2 linked regions of the Lytechinus pictus genome follow. The protein of the gene in region 1 binds, or shares a complex with, the protein of each later gene. Links are inferred from orthologs where the notes say so. Each region holds a gene or a part of one and is shown in the gene's direction. Other genes may lie near its edges. The genes, in order: regulator of nonsense transcripts 2-like and regulator of nonsense transcripts 1-like.

Region 1 (15,848 bases):
TAAAGAACATGAAATTACTCCTGGGGCCCGTCTTACAGAGAGTTGCGATTGATCCGATCTATTGCAACTATGGAAAGCCAGAAATGACCACATCTAAAATGCATATTCATTCCAAATTTGTTTCTAGATAAGATGCATAATCATACATTCATCGTTTTCTTGAAAATTTGGTGTGTTCGCCTTTGTTTACAAAGGACATTTGGCAAATTTCCTGTAGAAAAAATTATGACACTGATGGATTTCCATAGAGTTGCGATTGATTTGTAAGACGGGCCAAGCTGTACCTTTGTATCTGTTCTTAATGTCTTTCGTAGAAGAACACCCATCGTCACCCAGTCTCCTTCCAGTGCTCCTGTCTTGGAGTAGTGATTTAAAATGCTCATTCTAATCATCTTACGTTCCTTCATCCTCTCTTTCATCACAGCTGAAGATACCAGAGGATTTCTACATAAATCAAACAATATAGAACAGAAATACCATTAACAATACATCCTACAAATTGAAAAAGATACAAATATAAGTTATATAACGGATCAGTGCCCACCTATTGTTCCCGCTTTCGTGCGTACGGTCAGTGGCGTACCGTGGGTCACGGCATTGGGGGGGCACGAGCAAAAATTTTGAGTCACTTAGTGAGCGCAGCGCGCCCAGTTGCCAGGTATACTGACCTAATAGAGACGTTTTAAGGACAGTGCCATTAAACGGATATGTATCTCACTGGTCAAATAATGCGAGCGCAAAGCGCGAGCTTAAAATTTTTGATATTCAGACCTAAAAAAGGACATTATAAAATTCTTTTGTAATCATGATATGTACCTGTCTCGCTAAATAATGCGAGCGCGAAGCGCGAGCTGAAATTTTTGTAAATATTGACCCCAAACAGGAAGATTTTAAGGACTATATTTTAGGAATCCGTTAAGAGTATACACATCTCACCATAGTCATCTAATGCGAGTGCCAATAAGCGCTTGCTGATTTTGTTAGAATTACATCTAAACATATGCACATAAAGCACTTGTAATCATGATTAACATCATACCCATCTCACTAATCAAATCTTGCGAGCGCGAAGCGCGAGCTGAAAATTTAGGAAATTCAGACCTGAAGAAGGGCATTTTAAGGCTTGTTTGTAGGAATTCACGAAGACCATACGTAGTTCACTAACCAAACGGTGCGAGCGCGAGGTGAAAATTTTTGATATTCAGATCAGAAAAAGGAACATTTTAAGGACTGATTCTAGGAATTCATTGAGAGCAGACATATTTCACCAATCCGCTACTGCTAACGTAAGCACGGACAGGAAATGTTTTATATTAAGACCTTAAAATGGGGCAATCACTTTAGTCATGAAAAAGAAGCATACTATTGTACATAAAACAATAACTCGAAGTGCGAGGAAATATATTTGGCAGTTTGGTATATATTGACTTGAAAACGGGAGGTTTTAGTTTTTATCAGGGTTATATATCTCGGTAAACAGACAATGCGAGCATCAGGAGCAATGAAAACATAGGCCCTGAGCAAATTATGTTTCATTAAGTTATGAAAAATGTTTCTTATGTAATATAACATAACATATTATTATGAAATAATATAACATTATAATGAACAATAATGTTTTTTTTCCCACTACGTTTCTCTTCCTTTCTCCCTCTTTTTCTCCTTTTCCCCGTTTTTTTTTTTTTTTTTTTTTGGTCAGCCGATTGGGGGGGCACGTGCCCCCCCATGCCCCCCCGTAGTTACGCAACTGCGTACAGTCCTGGGGATTGGTATAAATAGACTACCGTATCAGATAATTTTCGTCACTTGATAAAGAGTTGCAGCGGCACTCGAAAGCTCGTGAACTTGAAAGCTAGTGAACACTTTTTGCGAGAGTGATAACGAATTTCCTAGAAAGCTAGTGAACACTTTTTGCGAGAGTGATCATGAATTTCCTTGTTGACCATAGTAGATTGCGAGACAAATGAATACCCTCTAGCGATTATTTCATTCCGCAATAATGAACCTATTTAGTATTATAAGTTATATTGTTGGTTCTTATTCCAAAATGACTTCTAGGTCTTTATTCCATTTAAAAAACTAAGTTAATGTCTACAGGAAAGTTTAAAAAAATGTTTTATCCTTTAATCCTAAGGCCTGATTCTTGACTCTCATTAGAGTTAATGAACATCCCATACAAACGAAATCCTGTTTGCATGGAATATACATGGTCTTGGACTTATGAGTTATGACTGTTTCAAGAAAATGGATATCTTGCATTTATAAATTGTATAAAATTATCTGAAGTGTTATTGAATTACATTTGATCATACTCCTTGTACAAATATAATTTGCTGATATGTGAGAAATGGATTTTGAGATTTTTTTTTCATCCTAAGGTACACTTAGTACCAGTGTAAAGACGCGAAATCCTTCTAATCCAGCAAATTACTTCTTGTAACAGTAAAATAAAATTGAAAGAAAGAGTTTACCAATACTGTATACATTTGTTAGAAGATCATATAAATGGCCACAGGTCAAATGGTAATAGAGTACCGAAGTGTGACGTCATCAATTTTCACTTTTTGCATATCAGCGTTTTTGATACCATATTTTGGTAGAGATGAAAAAACCCCACAACCCAAATTTGGGGGAATCGGTCCATGGGGCCCCAAGATATGACCTCACGAATACATAATTAGCCCCATTAAAGTCAACGTATTATTGGCCAGGGGTTGGTTGCAGAAAGAGTTGCAATCAATCGCAACTCTAATAATCATGTGCAACTTGATTTTCAACCAATCATCAGTGCGTATTTGGGACTTGCGATTGATTTTTTTTTACTTGCGTTTAAATGCAACTGTTTCTGCAACGTCCCCCTGGTTCCTAACATTTAGAACCAGGCCAATAATACACTGACTTCAATCGGGCTAATTATGTATTCATAAGGTCATATCTAAGGCCCCCATGGACCGATTCCCACCAAATTTTGGTAGTGGGGGGTTTTCATCATGCTCTACCAAAATATGGTATCAAAAACGTTGAAATGCAAAAAAAGTTTTTTGTGATGTCATCACTTCGGTACTCTGTAAAAAATGACAACTTACATGATGCGAATCCTTGAGAAGTATTCTGTCTCGCACTGTTCCTCCTCTTTGATTTGCTTCCGCTTTGATCCCGCTCCAAGATGTGGCATCGTCTTCTGCGATCCTCCATCCCCGCTGCTGCCTTTACTCACACCACCAATAGCCCCATCACCACATCTAGCCTTACTACTTGGCTCTGGCGGACTGGACTGGGACTTGGGTTCAGAGGTCTTATGAGTCCTGAAATGAGTTTCCAGTTGGAGTTTGCTTGTGAAGCTCTTCTGACAGACTTCACAGCTGTATCGGCTTACTTTGTGCTTGAATTCATGCACCGTCATGGCTTGTCGGTTGTCAAAGGTTTGGTCACATAAATTGCACTTATAAGGAGACACTGTAAATGAAAGACAGAGAGATGAAGAGATTAGTAAGGGGTAAGGTAAGTAATCTTACAGTAAAAGTCAGAGATCATGACTAGGCAGGACTATGACTACAGGCATACCATTCTAAGGAAATGCTGCAATTGCTTTGAACAAGAGGGCATGATATTTGGATCTAAGTATGATGTTATTGACTGATTTTGAGAGAAGCAATGTGGACAATATACATTTCTTATGGTTATATTTAATATCATCATGATCAATATATTTTCATTGTCAATATTATACATAAAAGTGATAAGGTATAAGATAAACTGAATACTGATGAGACTTCATTAAAAAAAAAAAATTTGAGACACTTTAGCAGTATTAGCCAGTATATAATAAGGCATCTGAAGAACTGTGACATGCATACTTCTGGTTATAAACTAATCATGAAAAGCTGCTGAACTTTTGACATATTTGAATATCATACAAGAGATATGCTATTAACTTTAACTTTTCTGAGTTTTAGTTAAGAAAATAACAGACTAGACTAAGTTTGGATACAAGGTTGGTTAATGAAATACAAACCTTTCTTAGGAGGAGCTGTTGCAGTCTGAGGGGTGTGAGCATGACGTTTATTGGTCTTCTTGAAGAGGGACTCGGCCTTTTGTGGCGTCACTTTGCGGACATCTTTCTTCTCTTCATCTTCAACCTCCATCTCATCATCAAACAAGTCTGACAGTCCGTCTTCGTTATCAAAATCTTCATAATCTACAAAAAAGAAGAAGAAATATTGATGAAGATAATTATATGAGCATCTGATATACAACTGTTCACTAAATCATTTATTCTCCATCAAGTTCCACTATAGAAAAGCAGATTGTTAATCTGGAACAGTTCGTTTGAAAGTCCTTTTAAACAAATTGCAATTACCAGTATACAGTGCGTCCCAGAAAAAAGGAAACCGGGTTTCCAACATCTTTTTTCTTCAAAGGCAAATTAATTATGATATTTCATTTACATCATCATACAATTCAATTATTCCGCTACATATTAATACCTACTATGTGACAAACACTCCATGCAGTAATGAGCAAGACGAGTTTGAAATTTTAATGCCAAAATCAAGTTGCGCAGAAAGTTTGGACAAGATTGGTTCATGATACGACACGGTGCTTATTCAACGATTGGCTAATTAGCATTTCTTTTGTATTCTTTGTTCAGTTTCTCTGACTGATCCCTGAAATAAGAGTGGATTCAGATTAACTCGTGAGTTTCTGCACAAATCGTTTCTGATAGGCCTCAATATTTATTGTTTGTAATCTAACATGCATGAATGATGTGCCAAGCTGTGGGTCTTACATTAAAGATGAGATTCCACTCTTAACATAAGTATCAAATTCATAGTAAACTAAAAACATGTTTAATAATTGTGAAATCTATCTCTGAAAACAGGTTTCCTTTTTTGCGAGACGCACTGTACAATTTGTTTTCATAGGCAGAAAACAATTTAAGAATGGCAAAGATAGAAAAAGAGATCATCAACCAATCAAAATCAAGTTTTCCATGGTAGTTACTATTAAGGCAAAATTACTATAATTAAGCTCTTTCTGAAGTGGGCCCAAAAGAAATTTTCATGGACAAAGTATGATAAACCAATGTGCTGGTGGCTGGTAAACTACCAAGGGTTAAACTTGCAGTTCTGTAGACTACATAACACACCTAATCCACACTTCTAAGTATTTTACTGCACTTAATAAAGTTTGCAACCTGAACTCATTAATTAAGTGGAAACTGAAATGACTGCAGAAAAAACTGAGGCACTGCTACATGAGACTTACTTATATTGTGAGATTCCTTCTTGGCTGGAATCGAAGAATCTTTCTTTTGCTTTCGCTTTGGTGTTCGGTCAGCAAAGAGTGCATTTGAAAAGGTTTCTTTTTTAGGACAAGGCTTGGTTGGACAGCTACTCTGTGATGAAGTGGGGGTACCTCCGTTCATCTGAACCATCTGCTCTCGCAACCTTTGCAGTTCCTCTGTAGAGTAAATCAACAGGCGCAAAGAATTATACCATGCCATGATGTTAAAGGAGAGAGACAGAGAGAGTGGAAAGTTTCAGCAACATGTATCAGCAAAGTTTCAAATACCAACTCTACAGAAAGTCAGAAATACTATTTAAAAAAAAAATAAACAATCATGCATATAAAAATACAGATTTTCCCTCACAGAATGCAGGGACTCAGTTTTAAGGGGAGCGAGAGTGATCACTCGCTACCACTCGCCTCCATCCATTTCAGGTAGCGCGATTTATCGCTCGCCTAAGCGAAATGTATTTTTGTGACATAAAATTATAAATGCAGTAAAACTAGAAATCAAGCAAAATCACACATGTACACTTTGTATTATGTATACAACATTTTACTTCCATGTATAATCTCTATTCTGACATCACTTAACCTGAATGTAGAACGAGTGTCAGTCAATGATTGAACTGTTAGTGCCAACCTTATTCTCAGTCAAGGTTTTACAAATAAGACACAATTACACAAGTATATTTAAGCAATAACACACACTTGAAATGAGATAAATATTGTATATATATTAATATGCTTTTCACACTGCACTTTTTTCCTTGACCCTGGGAAATTGGTGGGGCTAAGGGGGGGTCTTAGCCCCACCAATTTCCTGGGGTTAAGCTTAGCCCACTTCGTTTTCACACTACGTTTTAGCAAAGTGGGCTAGCACGGTAAATAGTATGGTACTATCTGGCCCTGCAAAAAAGCAGGATTAGCCGGCTTATTGTGGTGCTAGCACCACAATTGCGGTGCTAAGAGATGCAGTGTGAAAACAAAACAGGGCTAAGGAAAGTGGGGCTAAGCATTAGCCAATCACAGAAGTCGAATTGCACGTTAATCACGCTCTGTATGGTAAAATCATCAATATTCATGAGCTGAGGGATAGTCCGGGTTAAGGCATTAGCCCCGGCTAAGCAGATAGTATGGGGTTAAGAAAGACAGTGTGAATCGAAAAAAAGATAGTATGGGGTTAAGGATAGTATGGGATTAAGGAAATGCAGTGTGAAAAGCATATAAGGGCATCTGATTTTTTCTATCTCCTTTGGTTGTTGGTTGCAATTTAGTGTTCATTCCTCCATCCATTTTGTAATCGGACAAAACAGCTCCATTTGTATGTCAAAGAAGAGCTTTTTGCAGTGCTCCCCTTAAAAGTTTTAGGAGAGCTTTTTAATACTCCCCTCATAAGTGGGCGCGTCGTGGTCTAGTGGTTCTGACTCTCGCCTTTCAAACAGTGAGTTCGAATCCCAGCCATGGCGTGTTTTCTTTCAGCAAGAAATTTATCCACACTGTGCTGCACTCGACCCAGGTGAGGTAAATGGGTGCCGGCAGGAAGTAATTCCTCACAAAGCTGTGCGCACCAGAATCGGTAGACTAGATTGTCCGGGGAATATAGGAGCGCCTTGAGCACCTAGCAAGGTGGATACGTGCACTACACAAATCCTATATTATTTATATATTATTATAATTATAATCTCTTAGAATGCTTAAACATTAATAAAAAAAGAACAAGCAGGCCTACCTATCAACTCTTCTTTTGACTTTTCATCATCCCCACTGCTCTGACTGGATCCAACGGATCTTTTTTTCCTTTCATGACTGGTACCTTGCTTCTTGACTGCTTGTGACACTTGCTGCGAGTGTTCGCTCTTTACTGAGAAAGGATCACCGCTATCATATGGATCCGCATCATCTTCGTCATCAAGGAGTGAAGTGAGAGCATCAAGGTCGTCTCCATAATCCTCACCTGCCATTGCTATCAAAACATGTGATTGAGTTTTAAAAAATGTGTTATCTTGCAATGGCAATTGTACTGTCTTCCATCGGCATGCAAATTGAAATAGTCTCAAGTCGTAATGTCTTTAAGTTTACGTAGTGATAAAGATCAAAACGACTAGTTTAGTAGAATGGGGGTGGGGGTGAGGTGTCTGGACACTTTAAAACTTTAAAGCCTCCTTTTTTTGTCTTAATTTGTATTACTATTAGATCTAGGCCTAACTGTTAAAGATCTACAAAAAAATATATGAATTCAAATTTCCATGGCATGATTGATAGCTGATAGACTAGCTAGTTGCAATTTTCTTCAATTTTGTTCTCTAAGTCTAGCCTAAGTCTAAATAATATTGCTTAGATCTAACGTTAAGCCTGTTAAGTAACGTTAAGCATGTTATTGTTAAGTAACGTCCAACGAACATTCTTAAAAGTTAAATTCAAATCTTAACTAAATTTTGCTGAGTGAGATTTGTTGCCAACGTTGGCTTAAATTTAATTGCTTGATTAAATTATTTAACTTTAAGTTGATAACAATTTCCTAGGATCAACTTAATGATAAAAGTCATAGTTATGTATTAGTAGATCTACCTTGCTTTATAGTACTGCGGTGCGGCCAATGATTCGTTGAGCTTGATCAGTTTGTACCCGGGGTGAAATGACGACCCAGGACCATGTCAGGTGTACATGTATGTACTAATGTAGGACCGGACCGGGCCCGACAGGCGCGGCGCGATCGAGAGGAGGGAGCTCGCGTTGTCCCTCGCGCCCTGGCCTGAGTCTGAGACAAGTTCAACTGAACTTCAACTTAAGTCTTGTTATTACTTCCTCCTCCGCTCATGGGAGTACATCTGCATGTGGTAGTCTGCGATAATAATTTGAGAAATGACTTTGACTCTTTGAATTTGATACAGCAAGAAATTGTCAGTAGGGATTCCAGTCGCGGTAAATTTCAATCATCAAACAACAGAAACAACACAGTTTTGTTTTGCGCGCGCCGATCCAGCCGGCCGACCGGATGTGTGGAAAAGCCTTTTGACCTTTGGATTGATCGCTGATTCCGCCTCAACAATACTCGTAAGATCTGAAATTTGACTCCTTATAACTAATTTATATTATTGAAGGTACCCCAAAATAACTTTAATACCAATCCAATTCCGACTGACTTATATTTAGAGATTGTTGTAAATAATGGAAATACTCTGATAGAGTAAAGTTTAAATGTTTATTTGCCAGTGTAGTCCCGTGTATATCAATTTTTGTGTGGTTGGATGTGATTGCCTTCTCTGTCTCATTGACATTGCGTTTGTTGTGAAATGTTTTGTAAATGTTTTCTATTCCATTTTCATCCATTATGGTCAGAGATAACTTGCTGATTGCTGCAAGACTATAGATCTGCATGATTAAGCTGCCCATGCCATGGTTTACAGGTTAGGGTCTAATGAGTAATGTTGTTAGGAAGTTTGCATTTTGAAAAAATATTCATGACTTTTTAAAAACTTTATTATTAGCCTAAAAATTAGCTAAATTTTTTTAAAGATAAATGAAAGTAGTTGCAGTAAACACTGATTTCACGAAAAAGTCAGTAAAACCAGGCTTAATTGTCACTTTATCATCGAGGACCTAGATCTGGTACAGTTACATTAACTGAACTTTGTGAAATCTTGAAATCTACGCTGAAAAATGTTCACACTGAAGATCACCAACACAGATAATAAGTGCACGTGGGACAGTGTATTATTATTGCTTTGAATGTCGGCCCGACGCTTGACCCGAATCCCAAGCTTATTTGCTAATTTCTCAGCAATTATACAATTTCTTCCAGAATCCTTGGCTTTGGCACATATGTTTTATTTATACAAACAGACACTTTGGTGGTCGTTTCATTGGATTCTGTACGAACTCATTTTGAAATCGTTACCATAACTTAAGTCTTTTTTTTTTAAGGCTTTTAAGCTTGTTAGATTTCTGCAATTCCTTTGTTTCACAAATATTTTGCAAAGGGGCCCAGCCACCATAAATCTACCACTGGTAATACAGCACTGGGCGTTGTGGCGTGCGCCTGTAATCCAAGCTGTGGGGAAGTTACAAATTGATGCAGAGGTTCGAGGTTCGAGCCCTGGTCACGTCTTTCGGATGGTGACGTTAAAGGTCGGTCCCAGACGTAAATAATCATATCTGATTGATACACGTCTGACAAAACTCAAATACACACACACACACACACTGGTCCTATTTTCCCAGGACAGTGACTGCGTGGAATGCGCTTCCCAAAACCATCCGGGGGGGGGGGGGGGGGGTGGGGGTACTCGACCAAAAAAGTGGTAAGTATGTGCCGCGGTCGAAACAAAAAACGGGGGCCTTGGAGCGGGCTTATTGTAAAAAGGAGGGTCCTCGGAACGGGCTTCGGAGCAACAAATGTTTGTGAAAACGGGGGTCCTTGGAACGGGTCGCCTGCGTGTGAGTGCGTATGCATCTCTATGGAACGGGCATACGCGCATGCAGCTTGCCCAGCCACCGGGTGCGCTCTCGCAGAGGCGATGGTCGGAAAGCGCTCTGCGGCTGCTTTTCACCAAAATTGCAGCTCATTGTAGCAGATCAATGCGGCCGGAACGGCGTAACGAAAATTATGCGAAGCTTTGGAACGGATTTCTCTATTCTTTTTTTCTCGATAAGAAGAAAATGTTTTGCTTTGGAGCGGCTTTCTTTGTTCTTTTTCTCACTAAGATAAAAATGCTATGCCTTGGAACGGAAATTTGAGTGTAAAAATGGGGGTCCCCTCCGCGGCACATACCCAAACTCCACAGATATTTATTCAAAATTTTTACCTTAGATAAATTTGTGATATCTACTCTGCAATATGCAATAACTAATTTCACTCAAAAGTTCATAATTAAATTTAGAAAAGAAAAAAATAATAAAATCACTAGACAGCTCACCCCGCTACAAGCCTTGTCGTCATCAGTGTGTTTACTGTGGTTGCATGCACCAATTTGTATATGCACTATTGTCACCTATGAGGTCAATACTGTTATGTATTGACCTCATTGGTACTAGGAGTGATTAGGGCCTACTGTACATTGTATGGCTCTATGCCCAGCTGCCATTTAATCAGCTAGACCAAATGAATATTTAGTCAATTTTCTTGTTTTTTGCCAAAATTTACAGTTGTCAAGTCTATTTTCAACAGAATAAATGCTATTTCTATTTACAACTGAAAAAATTGATACAATTAATCATCAAACAGGGTGAGATTCGAACCCTTACCAGTCTGACAGTACAGCTTTAAGAGTTCTTACTTGACGCCTTTTACCACTCGACCAAGAGCAATCAATGGCAGAAAGAAGTGTTCTAAATGCATTATACCTCTTCTTTGTAGAACCTTGGACCTCTGCATCAAGTTGTAACTCTGCATCAAGTTGTAACTTCCTTGTGTAGCTTAGGTTAAGCTAAAGGCTCATGCCTGTGATGTAGATTGAGATAAATAGATCTGTACCCCTAGCTCACCATCTCTTTTGTCAGATTTATCACCCCACAGCCTACAGACTTGTTATCAAACTTGATATGAAGACAGTCCTAGAAAGTAAACAAAACAACTCTCATTTTATGGATGACACCTTGATGGGATGAGTTTTTAATCGTCTTATAAAATTGTAATCGATATTGGCCATGAATTACTGGTTGATTCTTGGAAGGCAGGATATACTTTTAATCTGTAAATGCTGTTTTTATTTGTCTTGTATAACAAAATTGGTGGGAAGAATGGAGTTATTACTTATCACCATACTGTAAACTCCTTTTCTTACTAAACATCAGACATGTTTGCTCTTCTTTGCTCTGCAGTTGTATTAACAGGTACTTTCATTATTCTGTTTGTTCCAGGATGAATATATGAAAGAATAATGGATCTGCTGAAAGAAGAGGTGGCTGCTGTGAAAGAAGAACAATCAGAGGACAGGGCACTGGATGGAAACCAGACTAACGATCATGGAGATGAAACTCCAAATCTGAATAGTTCAGCGAATGAAAAGCCTCAGTTGGTCACAGAAGATTGCAATACAGACACCAGCCCTAAGGAAAAGGATACTGAACCAGAACAGATCGGAGCGGGGAATGACCAAGTATCAAGCGATGCAAAGACCATTGAGGACTCTTCTGTAGCTGTGGATGACGGGAAAGATGCTGTTACTGCATCCAAGGATTGTGAAGAGCAAGCGCACGATGATGGTGTGAAGGATATGAATAAAGGCAGTGACTCTCAGTCGGACAAGTCAGATAAGGAAACCATTGCTCCCATTCCAATACCTATGCCAAAAGTTTCAAAAGAAATTTCAATAGAATGCGACAAAGAAAATGCTACTTTACGTAAAGAAGAGAAAGGAGGTGACACTGTAGTTGATGATAAGCAGTGCAAATCTGAAGCACAGTACAGTAAAGGGGATACAAAGTCTGATGGGGTTGCTAAGGCAGAACAGAAATCTTTGGCAGCTGACACAACCATTGTCAAAGAAAATAAGCAAAGTGAAGATAAGCCTAAGAAATCAGCTGAGGACAGACCAGGGAAAGTCACTGGTGGTCAAGGCAATGCAGAAACTGACCCACCCAATAAAGAACGCGGAGGAAAGTCCTACTCTGCCCAACGTTCTGGCAGCAGAACTGGCAAGAAGGTAGAAGAGGAACCGAAAAAGTATGGGAAGGTTTCTGCTGAAGTGAAGGCTTCTGATGGGAAAAGTGGATATGATGATAAGAAGGGAGGGCAGACTGGACATAGGAGAGGGAAAGAAAGTGATGTTAGGAGTGAAAGAGGTAACCAGAGAGCCAGGGACAGAGATAAGCCAAGAGGAGACCCTTATAAAGACAAAACATCTTCTGAAAGAAGGTGAGTTGACAGGAACTTTCCTCTTTGAAAGAAAGTTATCCAAATTTGCCTTCAGGGGATCAGTTGGCAGTACTGTCGTGAAAGCTTAATTGAACAATTTTTGTTATTCTTCATGGTAGTACAATAGATATCATAGTCTAATCTTTGTTTAAAGCAGATACCAACCAATATCGCCATCTCGAGTCCTCAACTACTCATACCTAGCCAGTTTCCTGACCCATAATGCTAGTCTAGTCTAGCAATATAGACCCACTTGAATGATAACATGCTAATTAACTACCGTACTTAATACATTTATACTGCAATAATTATGTTACCAAGTAGCAAAACAATTACTTTTCCTCTCAAAACATTTTAGTTTCTCTATACAAATACGATTATTGGTCAATTTATTCTCTGTAGTATAGTAGATATCTGGAAAGCATATATTTTAAGACTATGTTTTTATAACACATTTAATGAGAGACCACACACATGACATATCTTTGTTTCACTTTCCCTTTCCCATTACCTTCTAAATGCACTTTTTAGTAATTCCAGGTTTTCCAGTTTGTATGATTCCATTCAATTTAGTATTTCTTTCTTTATGCTTTCTGTGTAGTACCTTGTAGAACTATTATGAAACCACCAAGGCTGTAGTTTATTTTCATGTTAATGCCCTCTTTGTAAATTTTGCAGAAGAGAAACTGATTCCAGAGGATCAAGAAGACGAGAAGAAGATCATCACAAATCAAGGGGGAGGGAGGAGAGGATGAAGGAAGATGAGGAAAAAAGAAAGAAGGAAGATGAAGCCAGAAAGATACAGGAAGAAATGAAGAAAGCAGAAGATAAAGTGAAAAGGGAAGAGGAGAAAAAGAGGCAAGCCGAAGAGCAGGTAATGGCAGTGAAAACTGATAGTGTCCTCTCACATTCATTGAAGGTTGGCTAAAGTTAATACTTCAAAAACAATACTCACCAACCACTTTCTTAATTCCTTGAAAGTTGGTTTATTCTTGAAATGATAGAAATAATTTATCCAGATATTGTTTTCTTAAGAATATATGTTATGGATAATCTACAAAGTATTTGAAAGGAAAAAAAAAAGTTCTTCGTACTTTCTAGTTCAGTGAACATTTATAACCCGTTGATGTGTGTATACTCTTTCCTTTTCCAATACAGAAACGTCTGGATGAAGAAAATGCAAAGAAGAGAGAGGAGGAAGAAGAGGTGAGATAATTATTTGATTGACTTTTTTTCTGCAATTTGTGTTTATTTCATTGATCTCATTTTTTTTTTGTAAAATACAAATTTTGTTTAATTTGCTTTGTTATGATTGGAGATATTAATTGTGTTTATTTATGCAGTTCATAAGTGGATAATACAAATTTGAACTGGAATTTAATATTCATTTCTATAAAATTACAATGACATAAAGCATTATTTTCATATGAAAAATAAATGTGTAATTATTTTTCGGAGTAATATTTCTACCTTATTCATTTTCTTCACATATTTTTTTTTTTAGAAACATGCAAGGGATACTCATGCCGAGGCACTGGAGAGGAAGCAGGCTAAAATGGCTCTTAGAGCAAAGAATCTTTCTGCAGCTTCTGAGAGACCTGATGAAGATTCCTTTGTCAAGCTAGACTCCAGTCTCAAGAAAAACACTGCATTTATTCGAAAACTGGTAAGGATTTCATCTCAATTTTCCCTTTGGGGATGTGAAATGATTCTGAAGGTGCTTTCATTTTTCTCTTTTCTCATTTGCATTCACTGAGTTGCAGTTATAGGGATTTCATGGAAACGTTATAGAACTGTTTCTTTTTCTAATATGATACAAACTGACTTGGGCATAGTTGGTAAGTAGCCCTGTTGATACCCCCATCTGGGGGATATCTACAGATATTGTGGCTGTAGATTGGTTTATTAAGCCGAACATGGAAGTGGTATGCACCATTACTGAGTGCCCCTATGGAATAATTGATGAAATATTCACAAACTGTTTGTGAATAGCCATGCACCTGCTTAAAGATATATGACTCTGAATCTAACATATTGTTGTTTCAATGTTTATCGTACTTGGGTAATCGCTAACCAACCAAGTGCTGACACAGAATTACTCTAGATTGGGAGTACAAGTTTTAAAAGTATGAAAGTTTAATATTTTTTTCCTTCCAGAAAACTTTGAGTGAGCAGCAGAAAGATTCCCTGACCAAGGAATTCCAGGGGCTCAACCTGACCAAGTATGTCGGAGAGGCTGCCATAGCCTTCAGCGAAGCCAAGCTCAAGATGTCTGACATTGCCTCTGCTGTTCACCTGTGCTCTCTGTTTCATACTCGCTATGAGGAGTTCTCCTCTCAGTTGCTACAAGGACTACAGAGGGTGCTCCCTGCTCCATCCAAAAAAGAGGACAAGGAGAACAAACAGCAGGTATAAACAAACACAAAAACATTTACTCAAGGCTTATCTTCTCATAATGACAGCTATTCCTTATTAGATGATTTGTATGGTAAGAGGAAGTGTGGATATGAAGACAGTCTTGTTTCTTTATTTCTAAGTGAATTATTGGTAGTGCATTCCTGTACTATACTTTTCTTAGGGTTTTCGTGTTTCATGGTATTTTTATTGCTTCTCTTACAATTTTCTTACAAAAGATTTCAAAGCATATTTCTACAAGACTGGCTCTAGATGTAGTGCTAAAAGAAATAATGTTTTCATGAAAAGATTGTAGTTTAGAATAGACAGATATATCAGATAATTTTGTTTGTCTTACCTCAAGTGTTGTAGCTTTTGAAGTTTGGCATTTCTTCTTAATAATAATAATACATGAGATTTGTATAGCGCACTTTCCATCTTGATTAGATGCTCAAGGCGCTTCAGAGCAGAACAACAAAAACTATTTACATATAATACATGTCTGAACAATAAGTCAATGTCTATCAAAAAACACTCTTATACAGGTATGTTTTCAGGTTGCCCTTGAAGGTGGTCACTGAAGTCTGGGTTTTCAAACTGTGTGGGAGAGAATTCCGCAGGCTAGGCCCTGCATGAGCAAAGGCCCGTTCCCCGCATGATTTCTTAGCAACTGGAATTTGTAAGAGATTAGATGATGAGGATCGTAAATTTCTTGAGGTTTGGTGATTATGCATCAAAGACCTATTGTAACTGGGGGAAGTTGCATGTTACATGTTTTTTAGGTCACCTTTTCTTTTCTTTTTTTCCTTCTTTTTTTAATGCATTGTACAGGTTGTATTTGATAACAAGATCAGAGTTGAACTACGTTTCCTTGCTGAGGTGAGCATCCTTCATGATACAATTTCAAGAATGTAGTTGTCAACAGCTGAATTAATGTTCAAGGTTTAAATGTTTTTAGTTCTGGAGACAATTATTTTGGTTTGTTTTACAAGACTGCAAAGAAAGCATGGATGATTGTAAAGCATCATTTAGAGAATCAATGACCTCGGAACCTCTCCATGATTAAAACCCTGCCAAAGGACATTATCATACTAGTATATTGACTTGGTGTATTTCCATGTGTTGCCAGTTTACGAAACCACTTCCCTAACTCAGATATTGCTCCTTTTTAAAAACGATGATACATATAATCACACAAATAGGTGTATTATTCTGATGTAAGAAGATTATTGATATATTAAATCTATTCATGCTTATTTTCAATGTTTTTTAAATGTCTTGTTTATCTTTTCTCAATCTCAAATAT
Region 2 (16,245 bases), on another chromosome or scaffold:
ACACACAATCATGACAATATAGAGCATATATGCACTTTACTGTTTATAAGGGGGGGGGGGGGGGGCGTGTGAAACATTATAAAGGGAGTGATCACGTACATCTTGTCCATGCTAATAATGAAATTTTTAAATTTTGAGAAATTATTTCTGCAATACATCATGCAAGCGAGCAAAAATCAATAAAATGTAGTATTTCCATGGTGGAACTGGTGTCGAAATATTGTTGCTCAAATTTATTACGAAATGCTGAGCGTATTTTTTGTAAGTTGTCGCCATAAATAATGAATACTTAATATTAAAAAAACAAATGTTTCTTTCCGTTTTTTAATATCAATCAAACAAGATGATGTAATGTATTGTGTAAATTTTGACAGGTTGTTTCATACTTGGTAAATATAATGAACTCAGCATTGCGGTTGCTCTAAGTTAACTGTTCATTTCAAACATTTTTAAGAGTGAGATATTGTTGGATAGAATATCCGAAGACACTAAATCCCATTTTTTCGGAGATGGCGGCCATCCATACATAAAGGTCTCCTGGCATATTTAGGTTAAATATCGAATATCTACTCTTTGGCGGGAAATTGAAGTCGGTCAAAAACGGCGGAAGTGCAGACTTCAGATCTGCTTGGGAGCGTATGCATTTCGCTCCTTATTTTTTTTTAAGAGAGCGTATTAAGCATTTATCTGAGATGGTGCTTTTCTCAAAAATGTTCTGTCGTCGTTATGAGAGAGCGATAATAACCGTGATCTTAGCAGATGAAATATGAAGAGCATTATTCGAGAGGGTACTTGTGGCCACATCAAAACAAGCATTTTGTTGCTTAAGCGGTTTGCTGTTATCTAAATAAATAATGACATTAATTTGTAGGTGAAGGTCTCTGGATGAGAGATAATAGATAGACGTTTCTATGTCTTCGTTTACAAGTGTGTGTGGGTGAGGGTGTGTATGTGTGTGAGGGTGTGTGTGTATATGTATAAGAGGATGGGATGTGTGCAATGTGTATGCGGGGTGGGTGAGTACGCTTGTGGGTTAGTGTATATTTCCAGCGTGGCACTTTTGAGTGAAGAATTTTATATTTCTCTAGGCCTATATAATTATTTTAACAATGTTAAAAGCATGGTCGGTATACCTACATTTTATTGTGCACTTGGTTTTTGTGAATGGGGATGTCTTTGCACTCTAAAAAATATTGGGTAAAAGTGCTCCATGTGGGTAATTATTTGTCCAACCAACATTGGGCATTTCTTTTTGGGCATTTTTATTTATCCAGTGTGGTGAAAATTTTGCCCATTCTAAAGTAATTGCTGCTTATTTTTTAACCTTACTGGACAATATGCTTCCTTATTGGGTAAAATACTGCCCCAAATTGGTTGGACACATAATTACCCTGGTGCTGGTTAAAATTTTACACAATACTTTTTACAGTCTGAGAGGTGCATATCCTTAAGATTGTTAACGTGAATAGTTTTCCGTGTATTTTGCTTCATTGTCAAATAAATTGGCTAGGGCTATCAGGAAAAGATATACAATTTACAAATTAATATTATAGATAACTTTTTTTTTAAGTCTCCTATTCTTTTTCTCCTGATAAATTTACAAAAATGTTTATATATCAATCATAATAAAACATATTTGTTACTATATTGTTATAACCCAACGGCGAATTTTGATAAATTTAATTTCTGACGAGTGAATTAGTTAGAAATATCAATTCCACCTAAATAACATTAAAATCGATTATGAAATAAGAAAGGTATTGCATTTTTTAGTTACGTTTACTGTAAAAAAAGAATTAGGCAACAGAAATTATGAGAGAGACGAGGATGTCACACATTCAATATTTCGTTCTTATTTTGTGATATCTCATATAGTTACATTTTATAGCTTTAACGATAAAGAAATTCTTCACTAAGGAGCCTTTAAAGTGCCATCGACTTGACGACATGGCAAGATAAGGTACTTTATCTTGCCATGTCGACATAATAACCTTATTATGTCGACATGGCGAGATACGTTATCTCGCCAAGTCGACTTGTAAAAAGTTATATGTCAACTTGGCGAGATATTTGGACTCTCGCCGGGCCTCGGACACTTCATATCTCGCCATGTCGACATATCATGTTCTATAAGTCGACTTGGCAAGATAACGTATCGCGCCATGTCGACATATAACTTTTTATAAGTCGACTTGGCTAGATAACGTATCTCGCCATGCCGACATAGTAAGGTTATTATGTCGACATGGCAAGATAAAGTATCTCGCCAAGTCAAGTCGATGGCACTTTAAAGGCTCCGTACTTCACTGATTCATAATAAATTATGCTTACAATAACAATCATTGTACATTGTTTGTGATGAACCAATTTTTAGATTATTGGAGGAAAATTTAATATTTTACATATCAAATAACAAAATAAGATGTGTATTTTGAGAGTGTGTCTTCCTCGACTCCCTTATTTTCATACTTCAACCAATGATGTGTATATCATTGTTTCGTGAAATATGCAAATGTCGAAAAGTCATGAAAACCTTATATATAATCCGATTTTGATGAAATTTTCAAATGTTTTTCAAACTCAGCATCCCAGTGGAGTAGACTTTACACAATTATATTAATATCACTTTATATTAGGTACATTGGGAAATTGATACTGTTTTGGACATTGTTGTACCAGTACTTTTTTACATGTGATGGGGAATTTAGTATTATTTCTTCACGTTGAAATAATAATCTTAGCAATATATGTGTACGCCAACACCAGGACAATTTCATAATTTTCATTAAAAACCATGAAAAATAACCAAGAGCATTCGGGAAAAAAAAAAACCCGTCCTATCGTCCACCAAACAGTGAAAAATGCGATCTTTCCATTGCATCACCTATATACTTCTCCATACATATAAACATTCTTTGGCTGAGGAAAAATACAAGCATTCTGGTTTCAATTAGCATTTGCAACGGGTCTCGTCCCCAGCAACTTATCGATTTATGCAAAGTGAAAGTTATAGAAGTTCCTTACCATCGAAAGGATAGTTCTAGGAACCGACCTTTTTGTATTAACGATCGCTTCATTTGGGGTTTCGGTTAAACAAGATATGGCCGACGAATGTCATGAAATATTCATTCAAACCCTAATATGCCTCTCATTTCCCGTCGCAAATTGGACACCTAACTAAGAACGCGTGAAAGATTTTATTTGTCCAACTTCCGCCGTGATGTGACTTTTAAATATCTCCTTATCGTGTGGGTGTTCCCGTAAGATAATGCAGGCCTGTACGATGACTCGGAAACGCCAAATTGCATTTTCTTTTTTATTCGGTACAAATGTATAAGAAAATAAGCTGGATACGATTAGATTGAAGTGATGGTAATAATTTTTATCTAGGGGGTAAATACTCTTGTAACGAAAGGGTGGGTGAGGGTGCGTCGCGTTCATGGCGTTAAGAGGAATCCAACCCTTCTATATACCAAAGCCCCCCCCCCCCCGGTTTTGCCGAAAGGGTGCGCTTATGCGGTGGGACTTTATTGATTTAAATACACCATTCTAAATAGTTTCACCGAGTTGGACTTCGATAAATTAGCTTGGAACCCTTTCCCATCACACATCCAATGATTGACTCATTCGAATCGTTTTGGTCATCATGCATAATAGTAGACTTGTTAAGAGGTTGAACGCTGCATTTTTTAGTACAAATGTCCCACTTGGCACAAATGTTCCTTGAGTCAAAAGAAAAAGATTCATCCAAAGAGACACGCTGTATCTATGCAAATAAGCAAGTAATTTGCATAAATTTACATATTATGTCGATATAGTGAAAACAGGTATTTAAGAATATATATTTAACCAGAACTGCCCTAAAATTGGAAATAAAGACTAAGGGTAAGAAAGGGAAGTAAATTGTCATAAAATGATTGGGATATCCTTGTTTATTATTACCTAATTTACATGAATTATGCAAATTATGATTTAAAACAGAGTATTTTTTCATGAATCCTGAACTGTTTTTATAAATAACAGCAATTAATGCACAATATCAACATTCTGCATGAAAGAGAATATATTAGCGAAAACATCGATATGCTCCATGACAGTATTAGTGTCTTAATTTGCTTAGAAAGAGGGAAAATATGTCAAAATGTATTACGTGATATTGCGCTAAAACGAGACCAAAACAAACCTCTATATCCAGTCACACTAACGAATCCGACAATAAAGCGATCAATGGTATGTCATTTGAGATAACACAATCCTAACACAATAGCTTGCATCGGCTTCTCGTATCGCTTTTGTTGGTGTGTCTGCCACACCGTAATCTTAATCTATGGTATATACGGGCAAAATGCATTTCGGTATCGGTAAAACACCATTTGTTTTATTTGTTTCTAATTTGTTTCTCTTGGAAAATTTACAGGAGACATTTCTTTGCAGGTTACTGCTTTAATGAAGCTCTGGCACTTCAAAAATGTATCATGACGAATGTACCCCCAGCTCAATCCATATTTTAACTGTATTAAAATATCTATCTTTTGGAGACCCCGAAGTGGCAAAACTGCATTCCCCCGGCATTCCTGCTACTTTACAAAACCAGTTTGACTTGTATTATCGACTTGGAAAAGACAGATGTATGAGACATCAGTCAACATGTTTCCTGAAGAAAGTTTTTGGTTTATTTCAGCCTACGCCAACGGGAGCCCTCCGAATTTACCCCATCCCCTCCATATTTCGACACTAAATAAAAAAATATCGTGTTTTAGATCCACCGGCAAGGCAAATGGCGTTTTTTGGTATAATAAAGCAACTTTTATATTCATATTTTTATATTAATATTTATTATTATTATAGTAAAGGCTATAACCCAACAGGAGCATGCCTAGGATACCCCTTCCCTTTTGGTTTTATGTATCAAAAAATAATTTATTGTCTTTAGAACTCTCAAAAGATTATTTTTGTTTGTATTGATATCTTGGAATAGATTAAGGAGAAAATACTCTACAAGTGACATGTAGAGGAGCTGTGGTACATTGAAGAACAGCCACACGTAAACTCTTAACTGCTGAAACCCCTTTATTGATTCCACTCTATGTTGAATTTAAATATTTTTAGAGCCCAGTCGGAAGAAAGATGCATTTCTACTACACAGTAAAGCCGCTTTACATTCTCCTCTTGGAAAAAACAACATAGAAGGCATTGTTTTATATCGCATAAAATAAGTTCGTGTACATGACCATGATGACGGTGGCCTGTCGAAGTTGCCCAACCCTTTATTTTGTTTTGACAATATATATTTAGAATATCGTCTAAATGAAGCCCTCATCTTGAAAAGGGCACTTATTAAAGGCAGCATCTACATTATATAGAGGCCCTGGCCCTGGGAAGCGGGGGCTGAAGCACCCGCAAGATTTTCGGGGGGGGGGGTTGCTGCGTGTATTATCCTCCATAGACAGCACCCCCTGGAATTCCGGCAGATGTGACAAAACGAAAAAAAAACGTTACCAAAATAACCTTCATTTTGTAGTGCATTCCTTTTTGTTTATTTGCTTGTTAAATTTCTTGGGACCAAAATTTTACATTGAACCTTTTTTGCTTTTCAAATTTACATCAGCACCCCCTGTTAAAATCGTTCACAGTGCCTTGGAGGAGGCATTGTTCTAGTGCACAGGCTATATGAAAATAAGAAATTCTGGCAAATTAAAGCCTACTTCTAAGGGAGCTAGTTCCCCATCTCTTTCTATACTTTGACTATATTGAAATATTTCATGTTTTTTGTAGCCCCCACGGTGGCAAAAAGGCATCTTTAACACCTAATAAAGCAAATTTTAGTTTTATCGAACCTCTGTTTAATAGATAGAGGTGGCGTTGCTCTGTCGATTTCATGTTATAAGTTAATTACATCCTATTCTACAAAGGAGCCTGCCTGTCGAAAGTATTACATCTCATTCCGAATTTGACTCTATGTTTGAACCAGCGTCCTTTTGGAACTCTCAATTGGGACAACCGTCATTTTTTTCTACATGGAAAAGTCACTTCCATTTTTTTTTAATTGATTTTTAAAAACATAGAGGGGACACTCTGCCTGTCTGCAAGTTACAGGTAGAGAAAATCCGGCACATTGAAACATATCCAACATCGTGTGCCTGTCGAAGTACCCCCCCCCCCCCACAATTCTACATATTATATTACATATTATAGATAAATATAGGAGGCATCATTTCACAGGTAGCATGTAGAAAATTCATGGTACAGAGCGTACCTTCATGGTTCCCCACTCCTTTCCATACTACACTTTTTAAATCCCCTTTGGGGCCAAAAGCATTCCTCTTACTTTTTAATAGTTACCATGGCTAGCTTATGTATAGTAAAAGCACATTTTCCAATGGAACCTCATATTTAGTATTACATTACAAGAAGATAGTGGAAAATGTACCAATACCCATCTAATTGAAAGAATATGTCTATGTTACGAACAATGTGTGCTCGTGTACTAGAAATGCCATGGGGGCTCCCATTGGGAAATGCTTTGATGTTCCAAATGCTAATGTAACCACTAGAGTAGGGTCTTCTATTTCTTATCCAAGAGAACAATGAGTATTGAAGTGGTTTTACAGTGTAGCAGAATTTGCAGAAATGTAATCAATAAGATAATTAGTCGTGTAACTTCTTATATATAGGTTTCGATGGGGATAGGCTGTAATTTGTCAGGATTTCTCTTCATTCAATCTTTATGCCTCCTTTATCTTCTTAGGACGTTGATGAAAATATAAGCTGATTTAATATTCAGAAAAAGCGCCCCTTTCACAGAAGGGGCGTTATTAAAAGGATACTTAAAATAGACTTATATAGTCAAAGGAAAGTGATGGGGCTACTTTGACAAGCAACAAGAAATAGTATATGGTACAGGCTTCAATGTACCAGGACGTCTTTTAATGCAACCTTTAGTCCTCTGTCAAAAGATTAGTGGAAATGATAGCGATAATTTCGAATAAAAATTATATAACTCTTGATATTGAGAAAGGGGTGGGGAGTACCTTCTAGAGGCTCCCAATGGGGTTAGGCTTTGGATACCAGAACGTCATTGCATGTAAAATGCAAAGCAATGTTTTACTTTTCTCCATACATAACAAGAAATAAATTGACAGAATATAATGTTACATAATACAAAATAATAAGCATAAATAAGAAAATGTTTGAAGTGCAGAGTTCCCTATAAATGACATCGTATGTAGGTAATTCATTTGACTAAAACGGCTCAAAATACGCATTAACAGAAACCAGAATAAAATTAAGTACAAAAACTGCAATAATGCCCTTTTCCGTCTTTCTCTAATTTTACCAAGAGCAGAGGAGGTTTCATAAATATAAAAACTTGTTTTGCTAACTGTGGCAGCATTTAAAAGTTTTAGACCGTGAACTCTAAAACTCTAAAAGTTTCTTAACTGTGGGACCAACTTTTGTAAATATAACCCCTATGTATATGTTAGAAGAGAATCAATTTAGTTTATACAAGCAATTAAATAATATTGTCTGGAACTATATAATTATATCAACTGTGATTAGCATAATATGAAAAGTTGCGTAGTTATATACCCAACAAACTGTTCTATCTGTATTTACTTTTCTCTTTCATGTCATAATGAACGTTAGTTTTCATTGTGCCACAATGATAATTGGGAATCAGATATAAACTGCGAAAATTAGCCATTTATATTCGAATTTGCATAATGTATGACAATTTATGCATAATTCATACATAATTTATGCAAATTAGACGACAATATTGATGGATAAATGTTTTCTTTTCCTCCATCCATAGAACGTTAGTACTGCCATTTGAATAAAATGCCTAATTTTTGGTAATTGAAGTGTTTTACACTATTCATGGAATTAGTATAAGTAAACTCATTAGTATGTATTTATGGTAATAAGTGGTCATTTGCATAGATGTAGTTAATTCCTTGTGCCCGAATACTTTATAACAACCCTTTTTAACACATATATCATTATTTATTAAGTTTAAATCATTCAAAATCACACAAAAGCTTCATACAGTACTAATTTGAATAATTTATGCAAATTATGCACTGAATATCACAAACAAATGAATTTAACGCAAATATTGAATATTACAAAGATACAGTTTTATGATGTATAGTTTCTTTTCCTTTCATCATCATAAGATTGTCCCGAGTAAGACATGTTTTATTATTAATGCGGTTTTTCTAATGTTCAGAGCATTTTGCAGCTTTATGCATGAATTATGGTAATTAGGGATTATTTGCATATTTCAAAAAGTTTGTTTGTTCAATGTCTTTCCCAAACCCTAAGACACATTTCTCGATTTATTATTTACATACCACATTTATTGATACTTTTATTCAAATTAGATTATCCAGAATCATTTGAAAAAGAGGCACTTTTTATTGAAAATGTGTATAATTTATGCAAATTAGGTAATGAAATGTATGGTTACCGCATTTTTTTTTATTAGTTTTCTTTTGCTACCTCCACACAGGCTTTGCATCAAATTTGACATTTCTATGAAGTAGCTTTACATTTTTAGTAAATTACTCATTTTAGAGGCTAATTTACATAATTTATGCAAATTAGGGTTAATTTGCATAGATACAGAGTGTCTCTTTGAATAAAAATTTTCCAATGGGTTCAAGGAATATACATGCCAAGAGGCACACATTTGTACTAAAAAATGCAGCGTTCACCCTTTTTTTGCAGTTAACAAGTCTACTATAAGATTTAGCAAAACAAATATACAATGCAGAATACCGAGCCTATAGCTGGCGCTAAAGAGAAATGCTGGCGAGCAAATATTTAGTCCAAGTTTCGAAAATGCTTTTCTCTGTCTATAGGATGATGATGAGGTATAGGTCCTAGTGTATGGGACTGTGGTTGGGTTTTTCCTCTCAATTCGGGCTGAAATTAAAAACATAATCTACAATCTATAACACGAGCAAATGAAGGCATTCCAAGCTCATCAATCAGTCATTCAACTAGCCCATGGAAGATGAATTAGTCTTGTCTCACATCATCTGTAATAATAATAATAATAAAAAAAGAATAATGATAATAATCGCTATAGGGTATTCATTTGTCTCGCAATCTACTATGGTCAACAAGGAAATTCGTGATCACTCTCGCAAAAAGTGTTCACTAGCTTTCTAGGAAATTCGTGATCACTCTCGCAAAAAGTGTTCACTAGCTTACAAGTTCACGAGCTTTGAGTGCCGCTGCAACTCTTTATCAAGTGACGAAAATATTTCCTTGTTGACCATATTGGTAGTAGATTGCGAGACAAATGAATACCCTCTAGCGATTATTTCAATCCGCAATAATGAACCTATTTAGTAGCAGGCAGGATCTGCGGAGATAATAGTTAACAGTTTTTTCGCAAGATAAAATGTGTAGACAGTAAAAGCGAGATTGAAATCAACCTATATTTATTATGCACTTGGTTAAGTTAATTAATTTACAGCTGCTCGTTTAGAGAAAAAAAACATTGATCAACTTTTAATCATTATATTAGAAATTTAACATCGTTATGAATTATACATAAATATGCATATATGATATATATATATATATAATTGTGAAGAGCAGGGACCTATACATTGCGAGGTGCTTTCTAGTATATATTTGAGAGGATGCTATAATTATGTAGATACAGCGAGAATAAAGCAATCAAACGTAGCCGGGGTTCAGTTCATCAAGTTTATTCACAAGCTTTCAGTCATTTTTGGGGCCTTCTTCTATGTATACACAGAAGAAGGTTACTGCAACTTAAGTATAGGCTAAGTTATGTCGTAATTTAAGTCGTTGAAGTCAATAAGAATTGGCAGCCGCCTTATGAAAATCTATAAAAAGACGTCTTAAAGAATATCATTATATATGTGTAGGCAGATTCTATATGAACGGTTATGGACTCGTATTATACAAAAAATAGGTTTATTTTTAAGGATATTGGTTTTAAATATGTACATAATAATAAGTGTATGTGATCGCGAGAATTCACGTGTCATGTGCTTACTCATGTGAATTTTATGTACATATTTAAAACCAATATCCTTAAAAATAAACCTATTTTTTGTATAACACGAGTCCATAACCGTTCATATAGAATCTGCCTACACCTTATATGATGATATATTACAGTATATATATATTATTTAAGACGTCTGTTTATTTCATCAAAGGAATGCACTATTTTCAATAATGGACTTGATTGAGGCTAAAAATGCCAAGTTGCGTTGCTCGCGCGCAAATCATCACGCATTTTCAAGTACACGTTTGGTTTCTATAATTTTCTGTGTATAAATGCATGCAAATCAAATACTGTACCTGTCCAGTGCGCGCGCGCGTTTGGTATATGGAATTGCATTGCGACAGACACCGTGGAGATCCTTTTGCCTACCTGGATTTTGATGCTGGTACCGGACTGTGAAATCTAAAATATTACGGCTGAATAGTCATTTTACATTAATTAATTTAAAGAGGCAGTCTCATTCGTACCATATGTGTTCATTGTACTTTGATTGAATTGTTGATACAAAGGAGAACGGAGAGAAAATGAGCGTAGATGCCTACGGACCCAGCTCGCAGAGCTTGCTCACGTTTTTGGATGCGGAAGAACATGACCTGCTGGGAGCCGACACACAAGGCACAGACTTTGACTACAATGTGGGGGATTTTACATTGCCTTCACAGACACAAGCTTCTCAAAGCCAAGCATCCCAGTTGGATTTGGCTTCACAATCTCAGAGTCAGGTAATATCACTAACCTTCAACAAAGTTGTCATTGTCATTCATGGCATGATGGGCTATGGCATCACCTCGGCCTCGAGTCGACCGTCGTTGGGACGTTGATCGCTGCCTTAATGACTCCGTCAACAATGACAACATGGTCAACGTCATCAAGAGAGATCTAGAATTGGAAATCTACTATCTAGAGGCCTAACTTAGAGTAGTCTAGTACTCTAGACTAGATCTAACGTTAGAGTCTAGTACTACTAGGACCTAATATTTAGTAGTAATAAATTAACTAAATAAAGCTAAAGTCGAGAATTTCCAAACGACTTTAAATTCAAATAAACTTTGTTTAATCATGTTCTCTGGTTAGTATAGTCTACTATTACTAATACTAATACTTACTAACCTCGCATTACGTGTGAGTGCTCTGGTTCTGTTGCAGCTAAGTACTGTGCATGAATGACAGTTTAGTAATTTTGCCATCCAATGTAGCGAGGAGGCTCCTGGAGATCACTCACACGTATTGCGAGGTTAGTATTATTATTAGTATACTAACCTCGCACCACGAACCGCATTTGGCAGTGGATTTCTAACTAGTGGGTCACGCGTGCTGGGATCTCACTTCTTGGGTCCACAACACACGACTTCTATGGCTTGATTTTTCTGTGCGCGGCGGCGTGTAATGAACCCTTGGGTGCCTGGAGATGAATGTCATATCACTGACGTGCTGAATCTCCATGGAGCCAGGGAGGGGATGTCATTGCTCTACACGCACCGATGAATTGGGCAACAATAATGTTGCTCCATAATACTAATTTTCTAGGGTTTTGAGCCCAAACTTCTGTAAATGGGCTACAGTATAATATTGGTTTGCAACTTTTGAACAAAAATCATTGTTTTTTTAGTACAATTATGCTTAAAATAGAATCTACATGAAAATATTAAAAGTGGAGCAGCGTTTACTCACAGTCTGTTAGTATATCGCCATCTTGCCGTCTTTGTTATCGTTGCCTAGCTACAAAGACGGGTATAGATGGCGACAATATCATGAGATAAAAAATACTTGCATCGGCCGATAAATATCATGAATCGTAATTCATGATATTTATCAGCCGATGCAAGTAAGGGTCCACTGATTGCATGAGTTTCAGTCTACTAACATGTAATCATGATCAAAGGTCATTAAGAAGTAGAGCAATGAACTTTAATCATGTTTATTAACCAATAACGTTAATTTTGTTAAAGTTGTTAATGAAACAAAGTTTCTGAAATGTCTTCATATTTCATAACTTTGAAAAGTATGATTGTATAAGGACCTATTTCATGGAACATGTACGGTTCGCACTTCGCAGGTCACTTGATAAAGGTCAAAGTTCACATAGGGTAAATGAACCTTGACCATGTTCTGCTACCAATATCATTGACATTTTATAGGCTTCTACATATGTACTGGTACACAACAAAGTTTTGCATGCATCGTTTGATCAACTTTTTATATTTTTTTGTTGCAATGTAGGTGGATGCTAGTCAAACCAATGGGATAGATGAGTCTGTGGCTGCTGTAGGACAACAGGTCAAAGAATTGACCTTTGAGGAAGATGAAGAAGATGCGACTGTGCTCTCCAAAGATTTGCCCAACCATGCCTGCAAGTAAGTATTGAAACAAAGTCCTCATTACACATCATTGAACCAATTCCACTATGAGTACTATAACTTCACAATGTCTGCAAAATGTTATCACTTAGTCTGCTTTGAGTATTTACACTATTGGACATACATGTTTTTGATTGAATCACTTGTGTCAAGATTCCATTCAAAATTAAAATGGTTTTATCTGAAGAAGAAAATTCAGAGGCTTCAGCGATTATCTTACAATTTTGATAATTCCCTCAGTCAATTCTGAAGGAAGTATAAGTTCTGAAAATATAAACCACCCTTAAGGCCAAGGGTTTGTAGTTGCACTTTCATTAGGAACTTGGGCATGGATGAATTATCACTGGTTTTGCTTTATTTCATCAGGTACTGTGGCATTCATGACCCTGCTGCTGTTGTTCTCTGCAATGGAACCAAGAAATGGTTTTGCAATGGACGAGGAAACACCTCTGGCAGGTAAGTTCTACAAATCTTTATACTTTATAGCCTGTAGTTTAATTCCCCCCAGATTATTTTAATTTGTATTTCACAAAGGAAATTACCATGTAGGGATTCAGTTTTCTTGCAATTTACATTCTTTCTTCCCAGTATGAATAATTTCCTTTATGTGTTCACATGTACCTTACCTTAACCCCTAAGCTCAAGTTCTACATCTTGTATCTGGTGCAATTCAAGTCAACTTTATATCAGATAATCTGATTTGTCTTTTTTTTATGCTGCCCACTTTTATTTTTTTGGGGGGGTGTTCATAATTTATGTTTACTGTTTCATATTCTTGGATGCTAAATAACATTCTCAGTCATTTTAAATTCCTATCAGCTAATGTTAAAATGTGAATTTGTAGATCAGAATTTGCAATGCTTATGATTTGAACAAATTGTTTAGGGTTAAAAGAAAAGTATATTCTCTCCCACTTCATTGAGACACTGGGAAAAATAAGTGCAAGATTACATGTGTACCAGTTATTTGTAAAATATAGAACCATGACACAATCCCCTGGAATAATTGCTGGCAAGTTTTGGTTTGCAACCTCTCTTCTTTTTTTTTTTTACAAACCGAGTCATGGATTCTGTTCTTGTCTGTCCCATTTGATTTTATCTAGCCATATCATTAACCATCTTGTGAGAGCCAAGTGCAAGGAGGTGACCCTCCACAAGGACAGTCCACTTGGGGAAACCGTTCTGGAATGCTACAACTGCGGATGCCGCAATGTCTTCTTGCTAGGGTTCATCCCAGCCAAGGCCGACTCTGTGGTCGTTCTGCTCTGCCGTCAACCCTGTGCCACTCAGAGCAACTTGAAGGATATGAATTGGTACGAATGGCGCCAAGAAGAAACCTTTCAAGATATTTCTCATTTTGCTTGTACTTTTAGATGCATTATCATAGAGGGGGGGGGGTATCTAGTAAATTTCATAGTAATGTGAAATATTGTTGCAACAACCTGTATTTATTTGTATACTAATCATTTTCTATATATTTGTAGAAGAGTTGAAAAATATTCAGCTTCTTGTTTTGTTGATTTATGTTTTGATTTAAATTCATGCTTTTCATGGTTCATGTTTTTGGTTTTCAATTTCACAAAGAGTATACAAGTTCCCAATCTATGTTTTTATTAATATACTGATAAATCCACAGTTCACATGTCTCCAGTATTGATTTATGTTGTGTGCTGTCTCCACAGGGATCCAAGCCAGTGGCAGCCTCTAATCCAGGATCGATGCTTCTTGAAGTGGCTGGTCAAGATCCCTACTGAGCAGGAGCAGCTGAGGGCACGTCAGATCTCTGCCTCTCAGCTCAACCGCCTGGAGGAGCTGTGGAAGGAGAACCCAGAGGCCACCCTGGAGGACCTGGAGAAACCAGGAGTAGATGAGGAGCCTGCCTCTGTCATGCTTAGGTGACCTTACTGACCTTCATTCTGTATCGCAGGGGCCCAGTTCATAAAGAGTTACAACTCATTATGGCAACTACCACGGTAACGGGGTTCCGCAGCCAATCACAATAAAGGATTCCGTGGTATTTACAGTAATGGCAAATCACATTAAAAAGTGGGGTCCACTCCAGATTAAATTAACCTCTGCTCTATAACAGTGGTTTAACTAGGGGTAGCCAATGCAACACAAATCTCAAACAGTGGAGGTTAAAAACTATGGTAATCAAAGCATTAATGATTGTCTGGGAATGATAAAAATAGTTTTTTTCACCATGGAAGCACAAGCAAATAACACAGTAAACAAGACTTAACATATTTTACTTCCCATAATTTTAGCACAGACTTATACCATAGCCTGTGGACACCTCTGCACAGGACACCATTCCATTAGGGCAGGTTTTCAAGACAACTGCTCCCCCTGAAACCATATCTTAGGACCTGCAGTCTGGCAAAATATTAGAGCATAGTGGCTTATCTAGTAACTGAAGTTTTGCGCAGATTAGAGTTTTTATTCTTGCAACATATTAGAGCATGGTGTAATGTTTTAATAGGAAGCACATCTTTTTTAAGTTTTCAAACAGATTGTTATACTATGTTCTGTTTTAGGTATGAGGATGCGTACATGTATCAGAATATCTTTGGACCTCTTGTCAAGATGGAAGCTGATTATGACAGGAAGCTGAAGGAGACCCAGACCCAAGAAGGGGTCACTGTACGTTGGGATATTGGTCTCAACCGCAAAACAAGAGCCACTTTTAACTTCCCCAAGAAAGAAGGTTAGTAAAAATTGATCTCTGCGATATTTTCTTGCTGATATTTTTTTTTTTTTTTTTTTTGCTTAAGGGTTCAGTGTATCTGTAATCAAGAATATATTTTGGGTTCAATTTTTTGAAGATTTTTCTTTTTTCAAAGGTCAACTTCCCTCATTTCTCCCCATTATCTGTTGACTAAATTTTTTCATATTTTCCCACTTCTCTTCTTAAAGTGTTCTTTAAAACTGTTAAAAGTTCAAATTTTTGTTCTGCTTTTCTATGGCACAAAAACCTTATACATGGGTAAAAAAAATTGATATTGATAGACTTTCAAACTTGACAACACTTGAAACATTACCAAATTGAGGGCTTATACATGGATGTTATATTATTTCATAGAACAGCAGTAATCAGAGTGAAGATTCTGGTACTTGTAGGTGGAGTCCATAAATGTGACCAATTCAACCTGTACAGAATTCAAGCTTATAGATTGTGATATTTGATAGAACAAGTGTCTATTTTTCAGTATGTTATGAAATTTGATTCATTGTGTATTCTAAAGGCAAAAACAATGCTTTTGGGTTGACGATGTGAAATTGACGTTTGACTTGTCACACAGATCTGAAGCTGATGCATGGTGATGAACTGAGGGTCCGCTACACTGACCCAAGAGAGCCCTGGTCTGGTTTAGCTCATGTGGTCAAGACTCCAGACAGTATCCTTGAATTGATATTGCTAACAAAGTATGGCCTTTAAGTGAATTAAAGCCAACTGCAAGTGCAGTAGTTGCAGTAAGAAACAATTTATAAAAAGGGTGTGTTAAGATCAAGGTGTCTGTTATCATATCATCATGGTAAGTTGTGACGTAGTTTATGCAAGCCAACATGAATAGGTTCATGTGGGCATGTGTTATATCATGGCTTGGAGAAAAGGCCTGTCTCATGGCAGAATGCATTGTTTATTGGCTAGTCACTGAAAAATCATTGATTTGGCATAATCAACAAACATAGAAAAACTATTCCAAGCAATAGGTTGAGAGTCACTTCAATATCAAGGAAAAGAACAAGATTAACTAAATAGATACATGTCTTTCTGTCTAATCCATGTAACTTTACATAAATGTCTGATGGTGAATGATAATTACTGAGC

The links.
Region 2: the proteins of regulator of nonsense transcripts 2-like (region 1) and regulator of nonsense transcripts 1-like are in contact, whole or in part, in a crystal structure (PDB 2WJV), measured with the Homo sapiens proteins. The link is inferred for Lytechinus pictus from reciprocal best matches to the Homo sapiens genes UPF2 and UPF1. Residues at the interface, in NP_056357.1 of Homo sapiens: Val1105, Cys1107, Glu1109, Asp1110, Phe1113, Ile1114, Ala1116, Leu1117, Met1120, Met1121, Asn1124, Leu1125, Arg1128, Met1169, Pro1170, Phe1171, Val1172, Met1173, Leu1174, Thr1175, Gln1181, Lys1184, Leu1186, Asn1187, Val1188, Pro1189, Ser1192, Gln1193, Leu1194, Asn1197; in NP_001284478.1 of Homo sapiens: Asn150, Thr151, Ser152, Gly153, Val157, Asn158, Leu160, Val161, Arg162, Lys164, Lys166, Pro175, Leu176, Gly177, Thr179, Tyr184, Cys188, Asn190, Val191, Phe192, Leu193, Phe196, Pro198, Asp202, Ser203, Val204, Val205, Val206, Leu207, Cys209.

The regions. Positions count from the first base shown.
Region 1 is NC_087247.1:9,483,477-9,499,324, reverse strand, and holds the start of regulator of nonsense transcripts 2-like, read left to right. Parts: upstream 1-7,962; 5' UTR 7,963-8,346; intron 8,347-11,151; 5' UTR 11,152-11,171; coding exon 11,172-12,148; intron 12,149-12,826; coding exon 12,827-13,022; intron 13,023-13,306; coding exon 13,307-13,354; intron 13,355-13,652; coding exon 13,653-13,814; intron 13,815-14,305; coding exon 14,306-14,557; intron 14,558-15,373; coding exon 15,374-15,421; intron 15,422-15,848. Other genes in the region: protein MCM10 homolog, read right to left, coding at 285-444, 3,087-3,456, 4,016-4,198, 5,269-5,463, 7,022-7,253. UniProt on the Homo sapiens protein: Involved in nonsense-mediated decay (NMD) of mRNAs containing premature stop codons by associating with the nuclear exon junction complex (EJC).
Region 2 is NC_087249.1:22,494,873-22,511,117, reverse strand, and holds the start of regulator of nonsense transcripts 1-like, read left to right. Parts: upstream 1-10,335; 5' UTR 10,336-10,581; coding exon 10,582-10,779; intron 10,780-12,277; coding exon 12,278-12,411; intron 12,412-12,780; coding exon 12,781-12,870; intron 12,871-13,516; coding exon 13,517-13,726; intron 13,727-14,095; coding exon 14,096-14,308; intron 14,309-14,950; coding exon 14,951-15,120; intron 15,121-15,715; coding exon 15,716-15,811; intron 15,812-16,245. UniProt on the Homo sapiens protein: RNA-dependent helicase required for nonsense-mediated decay (NMD) of aberrant mRNAs containing premature stop codons and modulates the expression level of normal mRNAs.